Linked DNA regions of Rattus norvegicus. The protein of the gene in region 3 binds, or shares a complex with, the protein of the main gene of each other region. Links are inferred from orthologs where the notes say so. Each region holds a gene or a part of one and is shown on either strand. Other genes may lie near its edges. The genes, in order: Dusp6, Dhps, Mapk1 and Ptpn7. A codon is read from its position in the direction of its gene.

Region 1 (4,663 bases), on a different chromosome or scaffold from region 3:
CGGATTCGGGAAGGGCCGCAGCCAGCGCTTCCTCCTCCCGGTCGCGGCCGGACAAAGCCGGGCTCCTTTCCGTGGGACCCGAAGGGCAGACCGGATCGGGACGCGCGCCTTCCGCAGGGCCCGCCGTCGCCGCACACAGGTGGTTTTCCGTCCGGGAGGGGCGGACTCGGCACTTTTATATAACAATAGAGCTGTGCGCGCCGGGGATGCGCTCTCGTCGCCGTCGCGGCCCCCGCCGGCCACGCCTCCATCCGGCTCCGGTGCCGCGCCGCCTCCGTCCTAAATTGCCTGCGTGTGGTGCCCATGAGACTCCCAAATCCTAACTCGGAAACCAAGGGGTCCAGACAGGGACATCTCTGGCTTCTTTCCGACTCTAGGTCTCTCCCTAGGGGACAGTTCCGTGACGGCCTTACATTCGATCACGGGGTCGCCGCGTGTCCTCCCCCTCCCCCTCCCCAGAGCAGCGGTGCTGCGGCCAAAGCGCAGCGCGCAAGCGCGTTTGGAGTTGCTAGAGTGCTCCATGCGGAGCTCGGGAACCGCTGCAGCCGAGAAAGGTTAGGGGACTGGCCTCGCTGCCCACAGTAGCCAGTTCCCTCAGGCTTAAAGGTCTTGCGGAGGACTCCCCCCACGTCTCCGGGTTGCAGGGAGCGTTGGTGAGGCCCGGTGTCCCAGGCGCCTAACCTAGGCTGCCTTGCCAGACCGGTTCCTCTTAGAAGCCAAACTCTGCTTCTGACCCCAAATCGTTAAAGGAGCTCGTCTCTCCAGGCTCGATGGGTGACCGGTGGGGGTGGGGAGCAAGATCTCCGGAGCAATGGCTCAGAATGCCTCCACCCCACCGGAGCATAAGAAAAGTGTAGGGCTAGCTGACAAGGTTTTTCCTGCTCGCCCCCCCCCCCGAAAGTTGAGAAAACTCGGGATTGGGGTGCTTCTGGTTTTCTGGACAACCAAACGCTTGTTTGCTTAGCTGCTTTAAAATGTTTCAACAAAACACTAGTTTGTTTCTAGAGATGTTGGATTAGCATTTAACACTTCGTTGGGTCGCTAAAGCCCAGGCAGTTCACCAGCCCCAACACAGCCTCGGCTAAAAGGACTTCAGAACAAACAGAACTAGACTTTTAAAAGAGCCAAACAAATGCCACACACGATCTAAAGGAGGACCGGGGTGGTGGTGAGGGAGAAGGAGCGGGCTAGGATCTAGCGTTAAAGGGAATAAAAAAAGGGGTGGGGGACCCTCACGTTTTATTAAGGCTAACTTGAGATAGTAAGAGTAGCGAATAAGGGCTTTTGTGCTTGCTAATTGCACTACTGGTGCGCAAGAGTTAGACGCGAAGTGTGAACTCTCAACAGAAGGAAACACGAGACAACTTTAGTGCCCTGGTTTATGTGCCCTGCTCCTCCTCCACCGCCGCCTCCTCTTCTTTCTCCTTCCTCCCGCCGAGCCCGCAGTTGCAGCTTGTTTGCACTGGGGCTTATCCGGAGCGGAAATTCCTTTCCGTTTTTGTGAATGACAAACTCATTAACAATTCATCAACACAACCTGTTCCAGCCGGCCCGTCCCCACGGCAACAGCCCCTTCCGCAGCGCGCTCATTGGCTGGCCGAGAGAATGTATCCATTGAGACGCTGGCTGTTTGTATCCATTGAGGAGCTGCCTGGCACAGGGGGTGTGCTCTCGCGGAGTCCTAGGGACTGCGAGCAAACCCAGTCTTGAATAATCCGGCGAGAAACACGGGGTTGGATCTGAGGTGCAGCCTCAGAGGGATTAGGAGCTGCTAGACTTTTTTCTTTTTTCCTTTTTCTCCTCTCAGTGGCACGGAGTCCGAATTAATTGGATTTCATTCACTGGGTAGGAACAAAACTGGGCACTTTCATTCAGAGAGATTCATTGACTCTGAGAGTGATCTGGTGCAGAGGGACCACCGGCTTGGCTTCTGTCGCCTTCCCTAACCGCTAGCTTCGGCTTGGGAAAGGCCGAATCAAACCCGGCTCCGAGAGCCGGAGCTTCTCACGGCGTGCTTGGCCTATGCCTGCCTCGAGGGGCGTCTGCTAGGCACCCCGCCTTCTCCTGCAGCTCGACCCCCATGATAGATACGCTCAGACCCGTGCCCTTCGCGTCGGAAATGGCGATCAGCAAGACGGTGGCGTGGCTCAACGAGCAGCTGGAGCTGGGCAACGAACAGCTGCTGCTGATGGACTGCCGACCGCAGGAGCTGTACGAGTCGTCGCACATCGAATCTGCCATCAACGTGGCCATCCCGGGCATCATGCTGCGGCGTCTGCAGAAGGGCAACCTGCCGGTGCGCGCGCTATTCACGCGCTGCGAGGACCGGGACCGCTTTACCAGGCGCTGCGGCACCGACACCGTGGTGCTCTACGACGAGAACAGCAGCGACTGGAATGAGAACACAGGTGGAGAGTCGGTCCTCGGGCTGCTGCTCAAGAAACTCAAAGACGAGGGCTGCCGGGCGTTCTACCTTGAAGGTATGTTGTGCGCCCCGGCGCTCGGAGCTAGGGCTGCAGGCTGGGGAACTGCGGGCGAGGTAGCGATCGCCTCTCGCATTGCGCTTAAGGGAGCTGGGCCAGCGTGGTAGCTTCTTTTTTAAGGGTTCTTTATAATCCGGCACCTCCACCTTCCTCTCGCTTTCTTCTGGGTTGGTTTAGACTTAAGATTCAGAAGAGCTGGAAATGTAGTTCAGGGTGCAGCTTGACACCTCCTAGCTCCTCGAAATACTAAGTAATTTTGTGCATTTCCGGAATCAGAAGAATAAACGCTCCCTGGGTAGGCAGATGGTTGTATTCTTAAAGATGCACATTGAAGTGTGTTTTTACTACTGCAGTGGGGTTCATAGGTCGCCTGACCGTAGTGTCTCCTGCACCTCCTGTGCCTCTCACAAGCTGAAAATTACTACAGCTTCTCAGGTTACAAGAACGCTTTTCTTGTTTCTGGCAGGTGGCTTCAGTAAGTTCCAGGCCGAGTTCGCCCTGCACTGCGAGACCAATCTAGACGGCTCGTGCAGCAGCAGCTCCCCGCCCTTGCCAGTGCTGGGACTCGGGGGCCTGAGGATCAGCTCCGACTCTTCCTCGGACATTGAGTCTGACCTTGACCGAGACCCCAATAGTGCAACGGACTCCGATGGCAGCCCGCTGTCCAACAGCCAGCCTTCCTTCCCGGTGGAGATTTTGCCCTTCCTTTACCTGGGCTGTGCCAAGGACTCTACTAACTTGGACGTGTTGGAAGAGTTTGGCATCAAGTACATCTTGAACGTCACCCCCAATCTGCCCAATCTGTTTGAGAATGCAGGGGAGTTCAAGTACAAGCAAATTCCTATCTCTGATCACTGGAGCCAAAACCTGTCCCAGTTTTTCCCTGAGGCCATTTCTTTCATAGGTGAGACTAATTTTCAGTCATTCATGAGTTGAAGATGTTAATCTGTTTTCCTGCAAGCTATTTGGGGAGTGGGGGTTGGGGGTGGAGAGACTGCAGGTCTCTACTGTTCCAAGAGTGTTAATTCTGGTTTGCCTTCTGGCTGAAGGGGAAACAGGGCTTGTTGACATTAGCAGATCAGGGGACTATTTGAACCGTTTAATTCAGTACTTTTAAAAGGGGGCTGTTCCAATCAGCCACATTTTCCTTGTCTCTAGACAGGGAGTGAGTGGAGAGCAAATTAGCACTCACTTGCTGACAATCCTAGTGTTGCTTTATGATTTAAAAAGAAGACCCAGGAGTTATTTTTAGGACACCCAAGTTAGTTGTTGGAAAGCAGTTTGAATACTAGACGTTACCTAGCTGAATGATACTGCAGTGTACTGGTTACTGTGCCTCTGGGTAACCTGATCCCAGCAGGAAGAACCGTGGGCTGGGACTAAGAGAAGCGAATCTCCAGGCATTGTAGTGCATTTCCTATTACAAAGGAACTCATTTTCAGGCCGTGTAGACATCCTGTTCCTCCTAATGGGCTGTCCCCTGTGACTTCCCTCTCTCTCTTAAAATGCCTGAATACCCCCATTGTTAGCAGCACAACAGTTGGAGAATAATTTAATAGACCCTTGCTGTCTGCTTGTCTGTATGAGAGGCATTCAGGGCCGTAATGCAGGGTTTCTGGTATTCACAAGCTGAGGCAAAAAAGAATGCACACATTAAGGAGTTTTTTGTTGTTAGAAACTTAATACAAAAGCCCCCTTTACAGGAAATATCTAAAATATGCGATTGTGTTCAGTGTGCATGTTCATTTCTCATTTATACATTTTCTGCTGCCTTAGGGGCTGAACTGCCACACACAATTGTTTTGTTTTGTTTTACTATCCCTTCTTAATTCAGACTTAGGGCTGAGCATTTGCAGCAAAGACTGCTTTTTCAGTCTAGTGAAACCTTGCCTTTCTTTTTTGTGTTCACAGATGAAGCCCGAGGCAAAAACTGTGGTGTCCTGGTGCATTGCTTGGCGGGCATCAGCCGCTCCGTCACGGTGACAGTGGCTTACCTTATGCAGAAGCTCAACTTGTCCATGAACGATGCTTATGACATTGTCAAAATGAAGAAGTCCAACATCTCTCCCAACTTCAACTTCATGGGCCAGCTGCTTGACTTTGAAAGGACCCTGGGACTCAGCAGCCCCTGTGACAATCGTGTCCCCGCACAGCAGCTCTACTTCACCGCGCCCTCCAAC
Region 2 (4,652 bases), on a different chromosome or scaffold from region 3:
TGACTCAGTGCAGTGTGGCTACCTTCACGGAACCTGTTCCCTACAGCAGTAGGTGTCATCAGACTCTCACTTGGGATTCAAGTCCTTTTGCCCTCCTGCATACTACCCATTGCAGATCTCCCTGCAGCCAGATGTGGCATTTGGGCACTGCTAGCCTATAGAGGAGGTTAAACGAAGGGGAGACCTTTATCTGTGCATCTTTGGGGAAATAGTGTCTCTGATATTTTTATAACAGGAATTTTCTGGGTCTTCTGGCCTCAGTCAAAACATCATGTGTTTGGCAGTTTTCTCCAGTCACCTTTTCCCTCAGCTCTGGTTACCAATTCCTCCAACCCACCTTCACACTTAACAGAGTGTGTGTGTTTTCTAGGCCAGAGGACAACCTCAGATGTCACTCTCATTCACCTGGTCCCTAAACCTGTGTGTATGAGCTTGTGCACGCATGGCATGCTTGTGGAGGTCAGACAATAATGTAAACAGGTCCAGACTCTTCTATCATGGGCCTTTGGCTACTGAGCCATTCTTCAGGTCCCATCCCCAAGGATCTACTGGTCTCTGCTTACCCAGAGCTATTACTGGTATTGCCAACCCCCTACCCCTCTTGAGTTCTGGCAATTAAACACACATATTCAATCCACACTCTTGCTTTTTTGCAAAGCAAGGACTGTACAGACAGCTATTTCCCTAGCCATGCCCGTCCCTTTTGTTGAGAAAGGGTCTTGCTTTCAATAGTTCAGGCTGGCCTGGAACTCGAGATTCTTTTGCCTCCACCTCCTGATTGCTGGTTTAGCCACCTAATGGTTTCCTGTTCATCAGACTATAGTCATCAGGAGGGCAGAGTCCATTGCTAAATCGCAGCGCCCAGCAGAGAGCACTATTTCTAGTGTAGATTACACAAACTGTAGAATGAGGGTGCCCCTGTCCTAGGTTCAGTGTATCATTAAAGGGGACGCATGAGAAAAGATTCTCAACAAACTTCTTTCGGCAAAAAGATGGTGGTCATCCCTGTCTCCCCAGAGGCCTATGATCCAGTGAAAATTGAACTATGGTTGTAGGGGGAAAAGAAGTTTGTAGCGACTCGAGGAAGCACCGAAAGAAAACACTCCCATTTGACAAAAGTCTGCAACTAACTTGTCCAAGGGCTCCGTCCTAGAAACAATCACCTCGCTCATGGGGGGACAAGAATATTTGGACAGACAGTTTGCAAATCAGGCACTTTTATCTACTTGAAGCTGAATCTGCCTACAAGGAATAACAAACAGCTCCTGGACCACATGTACGGAACACGGGAATAAAATGGCTGCTACCAGGCCCGCAGGCGCTGCCAGGGCCATGTGACTCAAGTAGCTTCCGGTACCCCTCCCCCGCCCCCGAGTCGCATTTCCTGGGCTCCGGCGGACCAAGCTGAAGGATTTGGCGGGTTCCAGGGCACCGAGACTGCTGTGACCAGAGAACGGCCGAGAGCGCATGGAGGGGACCCCGTCGGGGGCGGCGCCCTCCTCGGCGCTGGCCGCTGTGCTCAAGCACAGCTCAGCGTTGCCGCCCGAGAGCGCCCAGGTCCAAGGTTACGACTTCAACCGCGGGGTAGATTACCACGCGCTTCTGGAAGCCTACGGCACCACCGGCTTCCAGGCCACCAACTTCGGGCGCGCGGTGCAGCAAGTCAACGCCATGGTGAGGCGCCGGGCGACCCGGGTGGGAGGCGGGGCCGCTCCGTCCGCGTGAGTGCCGGGGAGAGGCGGAGTCCTGGTTAACTAGTGTTCCGCGATGGGAGGAGCTTGGGGTTAAAATCAAAACGGGCTTGTAGGAGGAGCTTAACGCTGGGAGAGCCCTGGATTCGCTTTTCCCACTGGAAGGAGTCCTGAAGAGAAGACACTGTGTTGTTCTTAAAAGGGAACAAACCCCAAGTGACAGACCAGGACCTGGAATGGGAGGGTTAGGGTCTGCACAGGGGTTGTGCTTTGGTTTTGTAGTAGTCTCCCTGAGTGCAATCAACGTCTGGAATCCAATTCATGTGGGGTTCCTCCACTGAGGTTTGGAGTTTTAGTGCAACTTTACTGTGCCCCTATGCCCAGATTGAGAAGAAGCTGGAACCACTGGCAGTAGATGAAGATCATCACGAAGACCTGACTCAGAGCCGCCGCCCACTCACAGGCTGCACCATTTTCTTGGGCTATACGTCCAACCTCATCAGTTCTGGCATCCGGGAGACCATTCGCTACCTCGTGCAGCACAATATGGTGGGTCCACGTTAGATCAGTGGCCCCAGCCTCTCTGGGCCAGTAGACAAAAGGGTTATTGTTCATTTAAGAAACATGAAGAGGCTCAGAGATTAAGAGTATTTGCTGTTCTGTGAAAGATTTGGGTTTGGTTTCCAGCAACCACCTGGTGACTCACAACCATCTGTAATGGGGTCTTCTGTGTGTCTGAAGAGAGGGAGAGTGTATTCACATACATAAAATAAATCTTAAAGGGTGTGAGGAAATGGAGTATTGCTTTTAGACATACTGGCAGTTTCTTCCTTCCTTCCTTCCTTCCTTCCTTCCTTCCTTCCTTCCTTCCTTCCTTTGTATATGAGCACACTGTTACTGTCTTCATGTACACCAGAAGAGAGCATCAGATCCCATTACAGATGGTTGTGAGCCACCATGTGGTTGCTGGGAATTGAACTCAGGACCTCTGGAAGAGCAGTCAGTGCTCTTAACTGCTGAGCCATCTCTCTAGACCCATACTGGCAGTTCTTAGACTTCAGCCTCCTTTCTGAGTGCTGGGATCACAAGAGTGTGCCACGTTTTCTGGGTCTGCTTTAGGCTTGAGTTGGTTTTGTCATAGAGCTCATGCTTTGGGTCTGGATGAGCTCAGGCCAATGTTAGGGGCACTACTTTGAAGAAGGGTCTGTGTTGTTGCTGGTGACCACAGGTGGATGTACTGGTGACCACTGCTGGAGGGGTGGAAGAAGATCTCATCAAGTGCCTGGCACCCACATATCTGGGCGAGTTCAGCCTCAGGGGGAAGGAGCTCCGGGAGAATGGGATCAACAGGTGAGGCTCTGAGTAGTGGTAGGAGCAGGGAAGCCGCGTTGAGGGTCCCAGTGTCTGATGCCCTCATGGATCCCATTTCTAGGATCGGGAACCTGCTGGTGCCAAATGACAATTATTGCAAGTTTGAGGACTGGCTCATGCCCATCCTAGACCAGATGGTGCAGGAGCAGAATACAGAGGTAGGGCTGGAAGGGCTCAGGTGGACCTGCATAGTTGAGTCAGAAGACATGGGCTAATACTGATATTCTCCCCCTTGTTAGGGTGTGAAGTGGACACCTTCCAAGATGATCTCCCGGCTTGGGAAGGAGATCAACAACCCAGAGTCTGTGTATTATTGGGCCCATAAGGTGGGTTGGGTGGGGACAGTATTCTTGGGGACAGTACTTAGGCTTTGACTTGCAATGACTTGTTTGACTTAGTAGCCACCTAAAAGTCTCAGTAATCATTCTTGGTCTTCCCAGAGTTAGACGAGGAATGTCGAACAGAGAGGCTAGGCGTCACTTGACTGCAGGGTTCTCCTAGCTATGCCCCTACACTCCTGGGACTCGGTGTAGTGCTTTAGAAGTCGGTGGGGCCTGACCCAGGGTACCATGTGCCCAGGGACAGTGCAGCTCAAGAGTCTGGACAATAAGACACTGCTCAGTGTGCCAGTACCTTCTTCAAGCCATGTGTGGTTTTTCCTCACGTCTGCATCCACATGCAAAGCAGAGGGTCATGTGCACCAGAGAAATCAAGCAGCCTACTCAGGTCGGGAGGGATGCCACTGGGTTGGGCATCAGTTTTGCTGGGGTATGAGGTGTAGCTGCTAACTGGTCCTATCTCCACCAGAACCACATACCTGTGCTGAGTCCTGCACTCACAGACGGCTCACTGGGTGACATGATCTTTTTCCATTCCTATAAAAACCCAGGCTTGGTCCTGGACATCGTTGAAGGTGAGGTGCTAAGGCCCTGGGAGAAGGGTGAGAAAAGCCCACCGAGTCCAAGGCCTGACCTCTGCCCTCTCTCCCAGACCTGCGGCTCATCAACATGCAGGCCATTTTCGCCAAGCGCACTGGGATGATCATCCTGGGTGGAGGCGTGGTCAAGCACCACATCGCCAATGCTAACCTCATGGTGAGTGGAGTGGCTCTTGGCAGCCATCCCCACCCTCTGCTCTGAGAGATGGTGGTATTAGATGTGCACTACAGCAGTGCACTCGATGGGCCAGAGTCCCTGTCCTCTTTGGAGTTATGTTGGGGTGAGGCAGGTCAGACAGCCATAAGTGACATGCATGTGAGGACTAAGTAATGTCAGTCAGGCAAGGTGACTGCTTGGGAGACTGAGGCAGGAGGAAGGCTTGTTCATAGTTCAGGGCCAATGCGAAATGTTGTAATGTGAAAGGAAAGCCGTTTACTGAAGGGAGTGTTGGGGACAGGCTTCTGGAATTGTAAGTTTGAGCAGAGATCGATGTGCTATCCACAAGTCTTAAGGTTATGTATGGGAAGAACATTCTCAGTGAGGGAACATCCAGGGTAAAGGCCCTGAGACATCTTCACCTCAAGTGGTGAAGGCAGCTTAAAGGTTACACTGCAGAGGTAGCTGGGCCTGTGGAACAAAAAGAGTATTTAGG
Region 3 (4,610 bases):
TTTTTTTGTTTTGTTTTTGTTTTTGTTTGTTTGTTTTTTGCTTTTTTTGTTTTTTGGTTTTTTTTTTTTTTTTTTTGAGACTCTTGGCTATCCTGGAACTCATTCTGTAGACCAGGCTGGCCTCCCATTCTTAAGAGATCTGCCCCACTCTGCCTCACAAGTGGTACATGTGAGGCACCACACTGACTTGCTCCTTTCAGTTTTTTACCTTATTGTTTAAGGAGTTACCCCTCCGGATAGAATGTTTCAATCCTTCAGGAAAGTGTTACACAGCACCTGAATCCAAGTCCCGGAATTTCACTGTCTTTCTCCAGCGTCCCCACCCACAGCTCTTTATATTTTCCCTTGGCTTTTTATTTCTTCACAACACTTAAGTGCAAATATTGTATTTTGCCTGTCTTTTCACTCTGGAAACATGGCTGGCTCCAATGCTATAGGTATTAAGCAAATTTTCTTGAAGAAACCTCTAATTAGGGGATTCAATGTCTTGTGTTTTGGTTTCTACTTATTTATGTCTCACACTGTTAGGTGTGCGTCACCAGTAAGAAGGTAGATATACGTAGTTAGTATAAGAAAAGTTATATTTTATTATGCTGAAGGTCATCATGCAAGGTTTACACTCTAAACTCCTTACATTCCTAAGCCTGTCTTCCCAAGGCTGTTCACCTGTGTGACCTATCTTAGCTTCAGGTCAGGTCTAATCTCTAACAGAAGTCTCTGATTTGAGGGTCAGGATTCTGAGGGAGATTCTCTAGCCACAGAACAGATCAAGGTGCATCTCTCCAGATACGTAGAGCAAAGCATTGCTTTTGGTCTCTGCTTATATTTTGTCCAGTAGGCATCATGGGATTCTAGGACTATGTCATCTCCATGTCACTGGGCTCTGGGTATCAGGAGCAGCCTTAGGTACTGTAGGGTTCCTGACTAATCTGTTTTTATATGTCCAAAAGGCATCTTTTTTATTTATTATTCTCATTACAGGGTGAAAATATTTTTCTGGGTCTGGGTCATCTTTTTGGTTTCTGTCCCACTCTGACGGTCTAAGTGCATAAGAGTGCAGAATGTGGGCCACGTATTCCTAGAGGCCTGTCTGTCTCAGGGGTCCCGTGGCTGGTGTGCAGTGAGTCCTCTGGTCTCAAGTCCCTGGTCCCGCGCGAGTTCGTTCTGGACCAGGTACAGTGGTGGGACTCTGTGGGGTCATTATGCCTAAGTTCCAATCTAGCTTTCTAGAGCTACCCAGCCCTTAGCTTTCTGAACGCACGTGACGTCCCTCCCCCGCAGCCGCAGTGCTCCTGGCTTACTTCGCTGCTTCCGCCGGCCCGCGAGACTCCGCCCTCTCTGAGGGGAGAAGCCAATCATCACGCACGCCCTTGACTCCGCCCTAGCGCCCCTCGACGCGAGTCCTTCCCTCCTCCCACTCGCTGCCCGCCCGCCCGTCAGGCAGGAAGGCAGGCAGTGGTTCTACCGGCGGTTAGTTCTCTCTTCTGTGTTGTCCTCCCTCCTCGTTCCCGATCGCCGCCAGCGGCTGCTACACGGGCGGCGGCGCGGTTCCTGTGGGAAGCGCAGCACAAGTCGAGCGGTAACCGCGAAGCGTCGAGCCCAACGCGGCGGAGGCTGTGCAGCCAACATGGCGGCGGCGGCGGCGGCGGGCCCGGAGATGGTCCGCGGGCAGGTGTTCGACGTGGGGCCGCGCTACACTAATCTCTCGTACATCGGAGAAGGCGCCTACGGCATGGTTTGGTAAGTGTCTGCGCTGGTTTGCAGGCCCGGCCTCACGCGGTCATCCTGTGCCCCCTGCCTATGGCTGATCTGGACGCAGCTGCGGCCTTTCCCGCGCCTTGGCCTCGCGGTCCGCGGCGCCCCCGGACCCGTGGCTTCTCCTTGGCCCGCACTCCTGGGGCCCTGGGGCGGGGTCCCGGGGGCCCTTTCGAGGTTTAAGTGTTGCTCTGCTGCTTCCTGAGCTGACCCTTCGTTTGCTGTTGGAAGGGCATCTCAGACCGAGGCCAGGACTCGAAGACTCCCGGGCTTGGTCTCGAGCGCGTACTTTCGAGGCTTCTCCCTTGGGTCGGGAACGGAAGTGCACCATGTCCCCTAGTTCATAGCGTTATAGCCGCCGCCTTTTGACATTAGATTAAAACTAGGAATTCCATTAGATGCATGTCCGTGGTGGTGGCGGCGGCAATGGTTTTGCAAGACGGAATAATGGGCTTGTGTGCTGAGCACCAAAATATTTTTATTCTCTCTGTGTACGTGAACAGCATTCACAAAATATCTTCAGTAGAGCTAATGATGCGTTCTACCTCAGGCTTTCTAAAAAACAATGACACAGCGTTGGTTGTGGATATACTGAAATCTTGAAGTTTCAAAATGGATTTAAATATCATACCGATTGTGTTTCAGGAAGGATAAACCAGCATCACTCTTAGAATTATTAAGATGTATTTGGAGTTAGGCCTAACTCCAAATTTGACTTTAAATTACCCCGTCGTTACCCTCAAAAGTACATGTGAATGTATCCATAGGTATTAGCCCTATTTACTGTGGTCGTTTCCCTAACGTTTTAGTGTTCACTATATATACACAACCACTTACAGTACTTTCTGCTTGTGGAATGAAGTGTATTGTTTTAATTAAAGCAAGTTCATTTATCGAAGGTTTCTGAGGTAGTTAATTTTACTTGGATAGCCATCTTGAAGAAAGAGAAGACACCCTTTTTCAGATAAGGTATTGAAAGGAAGTCTTTTTCCCAAGGGTGAAGAACTAGAATCATGCTTTCTATATATAGAAAGATCCTGGTTTAAATGCTTCAGCTCCTCAGCTATGATTGCACACGCCTTTCCTTGATTTATTAATAATTTCAGAACTTCAGCATATTTTCCTGATGAACAAGTCTATTTCAGAAATGCATTCAAATTTGAATGGTCATAATTTTAGAAATGCCAAGAAAGATGTGTTTTCACCAAGTGTGTTAACTAGGTAGAATAATTAACTTTCCTTTTTAAAGGACCGGAGAATAGTTATATTCTTATGAGCAAAATGTTTCATAGTATACAATTATGAAGGTAAAAGTGAACTGGACCTGCGAGTCAAAGGGGAAATTAAATTTAGGTCACGGTTACAAGAAAGTCTTTGTAAAGGAATGGGGAAAAATTACTTTCCACATCACATCTGTCTTGCATGTATTACTGCCCTTGCACTTGCTGGTAAGTATGCCAGTAACTCTTATTATTGACACTCAAATGATTACCCACCATAGTCTCATTTATTTAAAAAAAAAAAAAGAATAAAAAAGCTTACTTTAAATAGAGACAAAAAAATTTAGGACCACCTTAATAAGATGGATTGTTTAGATCCTGTTGCTATTGACCTTTGAAGTTTCCGCTTGCTGTGCAGAATTCTTTTTAAAATTCACATTTTAGGGGTGGAGAGATGACTCAGCAGTTAAGAGCACTGGCTGCTCTGGGTTCGATTCCAATGACAGCCTAGTCTGTAATTATAGTTCCAGAAGATGAGATGTTCTCTTAAGTCATGCATTTAAGCAAGACATTCATATGCATAAAATAAATAAAACTAATTAATTTTTTAAGACAAGGTTTCTCTGTGTAATCACCCTGGCTATCCTGGAACTCAATTTGTAGATGAGGCTGGCACCTACAAATTTTAATTTTAAGAAAAATACAAATATAATTGAAATTTAAATCCAAGCATCAGCCTCTTATCTCCAGATAATGTATCTTAGTATTTATTTAATATTCTTAATTGTGTGTCATTATCATCTGATTATTGCTGAGTTTATGGCAGCTTCTCAGCTTAAGTATCCACTTGAATAGTGATCTTTAAAAGCTGGAAAGACGGGGTTGGGGATTTAGCTCAGTGGCCCTGGGTTCGGTCCCCAGCTCCGAAAAAAAGAAAAAAAAAAAAAAGCTGGAAAGACGGCATAGTGGTTGAGTACCTGCTGCTTTTGCAGGACCTAAGCTCAGATCCCTGCATCTGTGTTACGTGACACTACCACCCACCACCTACTGCACCCCTCCTTCCAAGGGCATCTACACACATGTGGTCCAACGAAGACTCACTAGGGTACACACCCTGGAAACTGATTTAAGAATAACTCTTTAAAAAAATTACTTGGGGGTTGGGGATTTAGCTCAGTGGTAGAGCGCTTGCCTAGGAAGCACAAGGCCCTGGGTTCGGTCCCCAGCTCCGAAAAAAAGACCAAAAAAAAAAAAAAAATTACTTAAGGGATTTTCAGCCGTTCTTAGCAGGATTTCCGTAAAGCAGGTCGTGGAGAATTGTGCCTATTTGTTCAAGCTCCCTTCATAATCATTATGTAGAAGACAAAAAGATAAAATGTGGGTGTGGGAGGTGTAGCAGTTAAGAGCTACAACCAGAATTCAGTTCCTAACAGCTTGTAACTTCAAGTAGTCTTGATGTCTCTGACCTCTTATGGGTTCTTCTGTGTGCACACATATGTATGTATATGAATGCACATAATTAAAAATAAAATGTTTTTAGAAGAAGACTGGGTTTTGAGTTGGGCATTTAAGAGTGGGTGTGATTTTGATAGGCAGATAATAGGAACAAGTAACAGCTTGAGCTGATGAGTCTAA
Region 4 (4,076 bases), on a different chromosome or scaffold from region 3:
AGATAGCGTTTGCAGAAGCTTACTGTGGCTGCACACCCGTGTGGTGTGAACTCACACAGACAGACCCGGGCCTAGCACCTCCAACTTTTCCTAGGCAGGCTTGAGACCTGGAGCCTAGTCCAGTGGCTTCCAGAACTGTGGTCTGAATTCAGCCCAGCACATGGGTCCTACCCTGTGCTGAGACTCCAGGCTCACTGCCTGCTGGAATAGACCAGGTTCTGTGAGCACTTGTCAATGTGAGTTTGATAGCCTTTGGCCTTGGCCTAATTCTAGCAAGCTCTTACAGCCATCAAAGAGGGGGAGCCAGACTCTTCATCCCCCATCCGGTTTGATTGGGGAAGGACCCACACCTTTGGAGAGCCAGGCCAATATCCCTTGTGGTTGAGCGATAGCTTAGACAATGTATTCATCTAACGCTTGTATTCGTAATCAGAAAGACATTTTTCCTTTGCAGAATCTCTTCCCCTTCCTATCAGTTCTGTCCTATTTTATACCCTCGCTGATCTCAAGGCCAAAGCATGATAATCTGCCGGTCAGTGTCTGCAGCTCTATGCTGCTGCACACCAACATCACTAGTCCATCTTTCCACTTCGATTACATCACTTTCCAGCTCAAAAACATCGTGGCTCCCTGTTGTCATGGCATAGTGTATTTTATTGCACACAGCTATTATGTTACCTGTCTGTAAAATAATACGGTTGAATATCTGCTGTCCACAAAGTACTGACTACAGAGTGAGGACACGCTCCCCCTCTGACTCTGTTACAATCTACACTCATTGGTCGCCTTCTGACCTTTCACCTTTATTGATCTTCACTTCCTAGATCCCCAGAGCCGTGTCTGTCTTGGCCGGGCACACAGCCAGGAGGACAGCGACTACATCAATGCCAATTACATCCGGGTGAGTGGCTGGCTGCTGCAGCTGGGCGGACTGCTTTAAACACGAAAATACCACACGAGACCCTCTGTGATCCATCTGTGACTGGGCTACAGGGCCCGTACTTCCTTCCTTGCTCCAACTCCCCCCTTTCTGCTGTAGATCTCTCTCTGCTAGACTTGGGGAGCGGGAAAAGAGACACATACTGAGCGATCCTCAAGATATCGGTCTAGAAAAGATGTCAAAATTTCCAAACCACCTTAACCTACCCTGTTACCCTATTCTTGACAACCCTCTAAACTTGGCAGTAAGTTGACCTTAAGACTGAGCCTAGTCACTGGTTTCTTAAAGACTAATGGCTTCTACAGGCTGCACAAAGCCAGCTCAAGTGGGAATTTCTCCATCTCCTATTACCTCCTCTCCCACACTCGTTCTCTGCCCCCACACCCGACCCCTACAAATACTGCCTCCTTTGTGGAGACTGATTGATGTCCAGTTAATAGCGACCTCAAAGCAAGGCAGACCATGCTATCCCAACTTCTTACCGTGTTTGGTGGGTGGATGTAAAACCAGTGCCCCCTTGTGGCCAAATGTGGTAGGACAGTAGTCTGGGTGCTGAGGAGGAAAGTCAGACAGAAAGTATAATAGATAGGCAGTCCTCTGTTTGCCAGCGGGGTCCAGACAAACAGTGAGATGCATGGATGATAGAAGGATGATGGAAGCAAAGGATGATGGGATGGAGGGGGAGGGGAACAGATTAGGTAGAGTACGCTGGATTCTGGTGCCAAATGTGTGCAAGTAATTCGTGAAATGTGAAACGTTCATTTACAAATATTGAGGACCGTCCTATCTTGCCCTAGAAGAAAGCAGCAGAAGATGGGAACAAACGTGCACACGGTGCCTGCTGTGTGAGAGACTGCCAATATATTTTATTGATTTTAATTGACACTGTGTTATATAATTACTAGGTACCGTCTACTGCTTAGGGAAACTGGGTCAAGAATGTGCCTCTGACCACTTAGCTAGGAAACAGAAGGGCAGGAATTTGAACTCAGGTGTTCCCTCATCGTGGGTCCCAAGTCCTCCTCCAGCGTGCGGCTTCCGATGTGTGTGTCTGTAGATGAGTGTATGTAAGTGTTTACACTCACTGGCTTTAGCCTGACCCCAGCCCCTGTGGACTCACAGCATCTTTGTCCTCCTGTGCCTTGGCTCCCCAGGGCTATGATGGAAAGGAGAAGGTCTACATTGCTACCCAGGGCCCCATGCCCAACACTGTAGCAGACTTCTGGGAGATGGTGTGGCAGGAAGATGTATCCCTCATTGTCATGCTCACCCAGCTCCGAGAGGGCAAGGAGGTAAGAGGTAGGGTCATCTGGAAAGGGTCTCTACCCTACCCTGCCACAGCACCCGCACTCAGCAGACAAGAGGCCTCAATGGCAGCCCTGACAGGCCCTATGCTGTACCTTTCAGGAACATACCCCATGGAAGCTGTGGGCGGGGTGACTATCCAATTGAGGCTTGGGAGAGCTAGGCTCTGGTCACTGACCTGGGTCATGGGCTAAGATATGAGGACAGGATACTAGGCCTCTCTGCTGCCCCAGCCCTGCGCCACTGATGGGCCCTCCCACTCTGACTCCCAGCTCCCTCCCTTCTAGAAATGTGTACACTACTGGCCCACAGAAGAGGAAGCCTATGGGCCCTTCCAGATCCGCATCCAGGGCATGAAAGAGCACCCAGAATATACTGTGAGGCACCTCACCATTCAGGTATCTCCCACAGACACTGGGACAGACCAATGGGAGGTCTGGGCCACCCTAGCATCTCTGAAAGGCAGGCTCCACCTTTCCTAAATTTACTAAATTCACCAAGTTTACTAATTTAAACCTTGATCTCACATTTAAATGATGTTACGTTTTAAAGAGAGAGAGAGAATAGGTTGGGGATTTAGCTCAGTGGTAGAGCGTTTGCCTAGCAAGTGCAAGACCCTGGGTTCGGTCCCCAGATCCGAAAAAAAGGAAAAAGGGAGAGAGAGAGAGAGAGAGAGAGAGAATGAAGAAAAAAGAAAAAAAAACTGGGCATGGTGGTACACGCCTTTAATCCCAGCACTTTCGAGGCAGAAGACAGGTGGATCCCTGAGCTTGAGGACTGCCTGGTCTACAGAGTGAGTCCCAGGACAGCTAGGGATACACAGAGAAACCTTGTCTCTGAAAAACTAAAAAGAAACTAGAGGGGGTGGGGGATGAGGGGGGGGGAGTGGGAGAGAGAACAAGAATGAGAGTGAGAGGGGCTGGGGATTTAGCTCAGTGGTAGAGCGCTTACCTAGGAAGCGCAAGGCCCTGGGTTCAGTCCCCAGCTCCGAAAAAAAGAACCAAAAAAAAAAAAAAAAAAAAAAGAATGAGAGTGAGAGAGAACAAGAATGAGAATGAGAGAGAAAGGTACAACCCTCAGGGACACCTCTAATTAAATAGGGATGCACCAGCTAACAAAATAGGGACCATTGGAAGCATGTTCTCCCCATGCTAGATATCTAGGCCCCAGGAGACTAGAGAGACCCAGGAGAATGCTGGAATGGTAAGGAGAGGTCAAAGAGATGTGCCAGTACACGGGGATGTACTTTAAAAATGCTTTTGAGGGGACAGAGAGGGCTCAGTGGATAAAGACTCTTGCTGCCAAGTCTGATGACCTGAGTTCGATCCCGGAACCCACGTGATGGGAGAAGGGAACTGACTGGAACAACATAGCAAGATTCCTATCTAGAGAGGAGGAAGAGAGGACATGAGGAAGGAGGAAGGGTTATCTGTTAAGGTGCACATTCTTATACTTCCAAATGATTTCTTTATCAGTTTGCTGTTCCTCAAGCATCCTGGGAGGCAGACAAAAAGATATCACTGTGCCCACTTCCTGGGGAAGAAAAGGAGATTAATGCACTTATCCACAGTCCCGAGATAGATAGATAGAGGCACGCCAAGACTTGAGCCTAGGTGAAGCCGAACAGCAAAGTAGCCAGGAGAATCACCCCTGCCTGCTCTGTGCCGATCGGATTGATAGATCGATCACCAGCACCCACACCCTCATCCTGCTTCTCGGGCCTTATTCTCCTGTTTTCTCATACCCCAGCACCAACAGGAATGCCGGTCAGTGAAACACATCCTCTTCTCAGCCTGGCCAGACCACCAGACGCCAGAATCAGCCGGGCCCC

Evidence for each region.
Region 1: the proteins of Mapk1 (region 3) and Dusp6 are in contact, whole or in part, in a crystal structure (PDB 2FYS), measured with the Rattus norvegicus proteins. Residues at the interface, in NP_446294.1 of Rattus norvegicus: Glu79, Glu107, Thr108, Leu113, Gln117, Leu119, Asp122, His123, Tyr126, Phe127, Gln130, Thr157, Thr158, Cys159, Asp160, Tyr314, Asp316, Asp319; in NP_446335.1 of Rattus norvegicus: Arg64 (codon at 2,270), Arg65 (codon at 2,273), Leu66 (codon at 2,276), Gln67 (codon at 2,279), Lys68 (codon at 2,282), Gly69 (codon at 2,285), Asn70 (codon at 2,288), Leu71 (codon at 2,291), Pro72 (codon at 2,294), Val73 (codon at 2,297), Arg74 (codon at 2,300).
Region 2: the proteins of Mapk1 (region 3) and Dhps are in contact, whole or in part, in a cryo-EM structure (PDB 8PVU), measured with the Homo sapiens proteins. The link is inferred for Rattus norvegicus from reciprocal best matches to the Homo sapiens genes MAPK1 and DHPS. Residues at the interface, in NP_002736.3 of Homo sapiens: Tyr113, Tyr187, Ala189, Thr190, Arg191, Trp192, Arg225, Lys231, His232, Tyr233, Leu234, His239, Lys259; in NP_001921.1 of Homo sapiens: Arg159, Glu160, Asn161, Asn164, Asn173, Glu174, Tyr176, Cys177, Glu180, Asp181, Met184, Asp188, Asp243, Phe247, Tyr250.
Region 4: the proteins of Mapk1 (region 3) and Ptpn7 are in contact, whole or in part, in a crystal structure (PDB 3D42), measured with the Homo sapiens proteins. The link is inferred for Rattus norvegicus from reciprocal best matches to the Homo sapiens genes MAPK1 and PTPN7. Residues at the interface, in NP_002736.3 of Homo sapiens: Thr185, Glu186, Tyr187, Val188; in NP_001351807.1 of Homo sapiens: Arg124, Tyr125, Lys126, Ile128, Asp257, His258, Ser292, Ala293, Gly294, Ile295, Gly296, Arg297, Gln335.

Annotation. Positions count from the first base shown.
Region 1 is NC_086025.1:35,977,957-35,982,619, forward strand, and holds the start of Dusp6 (dual specificity protein phosphatase 6), read left to right. Parts: upstream 1-1,647; 5' UTR 1,648-2,080; coding exon 2,081-2,480; intron 2,481-2,949; coding exon 2,950-3,387; intron 3,388-4,394; coding exon 4,395-4,663. UniProt on the Homo sapiens protein: Dual specificity protein phosphatase, which mediates dephosphorylation and inactivation of MAP kinases. Has a specificity for the ERK family. Plays an important role in alleviating chronic postoperative pain.
Region 2 is NC_086037.1:39,988,160-39,992,811, reverse strand, and holds the start of Dhps (deoxyhypusine synthase), read left to right. Parts: upstream 1-1,393; 5' UTR 1,394-1,467; coding exon 1,468-1,674; intron 1,675-2,075; coding exon 2,076-2,240; intron 2,241-2,919; coding exon 2,920-3,041; intron 3,042-3,123; coding exon 3,124-3,220; intron 3,221-3,301; coding exon 3,302-3,388; intron 3,389-3,869; coding exon 3,870-3,975; intron 3,976-4,052; coding exon 4,053-4,156; intron 4,157-4,652. UniProt on the Homo sapiens protein: Catalyzes the NAD-dependent oxidative cleavage of spermidine and the subsequent transfer of the butylamine moiety of spermidine to the epsilon-amino group of a critical lysine residue of the eIF-5A precursor protein to form the intermediate deoxyhypusine residue.
Region 3 is NC_086029.1:97,524,629-97,529,238, reverse strand, and holds the start of Mapk1 (mitogen-activated protein kinase 1), read left to right. Parts: upstream 1-1,413; 5' UTR 1,414-1,627; coding exon 1,628-1,740; intron 1,741-4,610. UniProt on the Homo sapiens protein: Serine/threonine kinase which acts as an essential component of the MAP kinase signal transduction pathway. MAPK1/ERK2 and MAPK3/ERK1 are the 2 MAPKs which play an important role in the MAPK/ERK cascade.
Region 4 is NC_086031.1:49,126,299-49,130,374, forward strand, and holds part of Ptpn7 (tyrosine-protein phosphatase non-receptor type 7), read left to right. Parts: intron 1-824; coding exon 825-901; intron 902-2,094; coding exon 2,095-2,232; intron 2,233-2,532; coding exon 2,533-2,643; intron 2,644-3,994; coding exon 3,995-4,076. UniProt on the Homo sapiens protein: Protein phosphatase that acts preferentially on tyrosine-phosphorylated MAPK1. Plays a role in the regulation of T and B-lymphocyte development and signal transduction.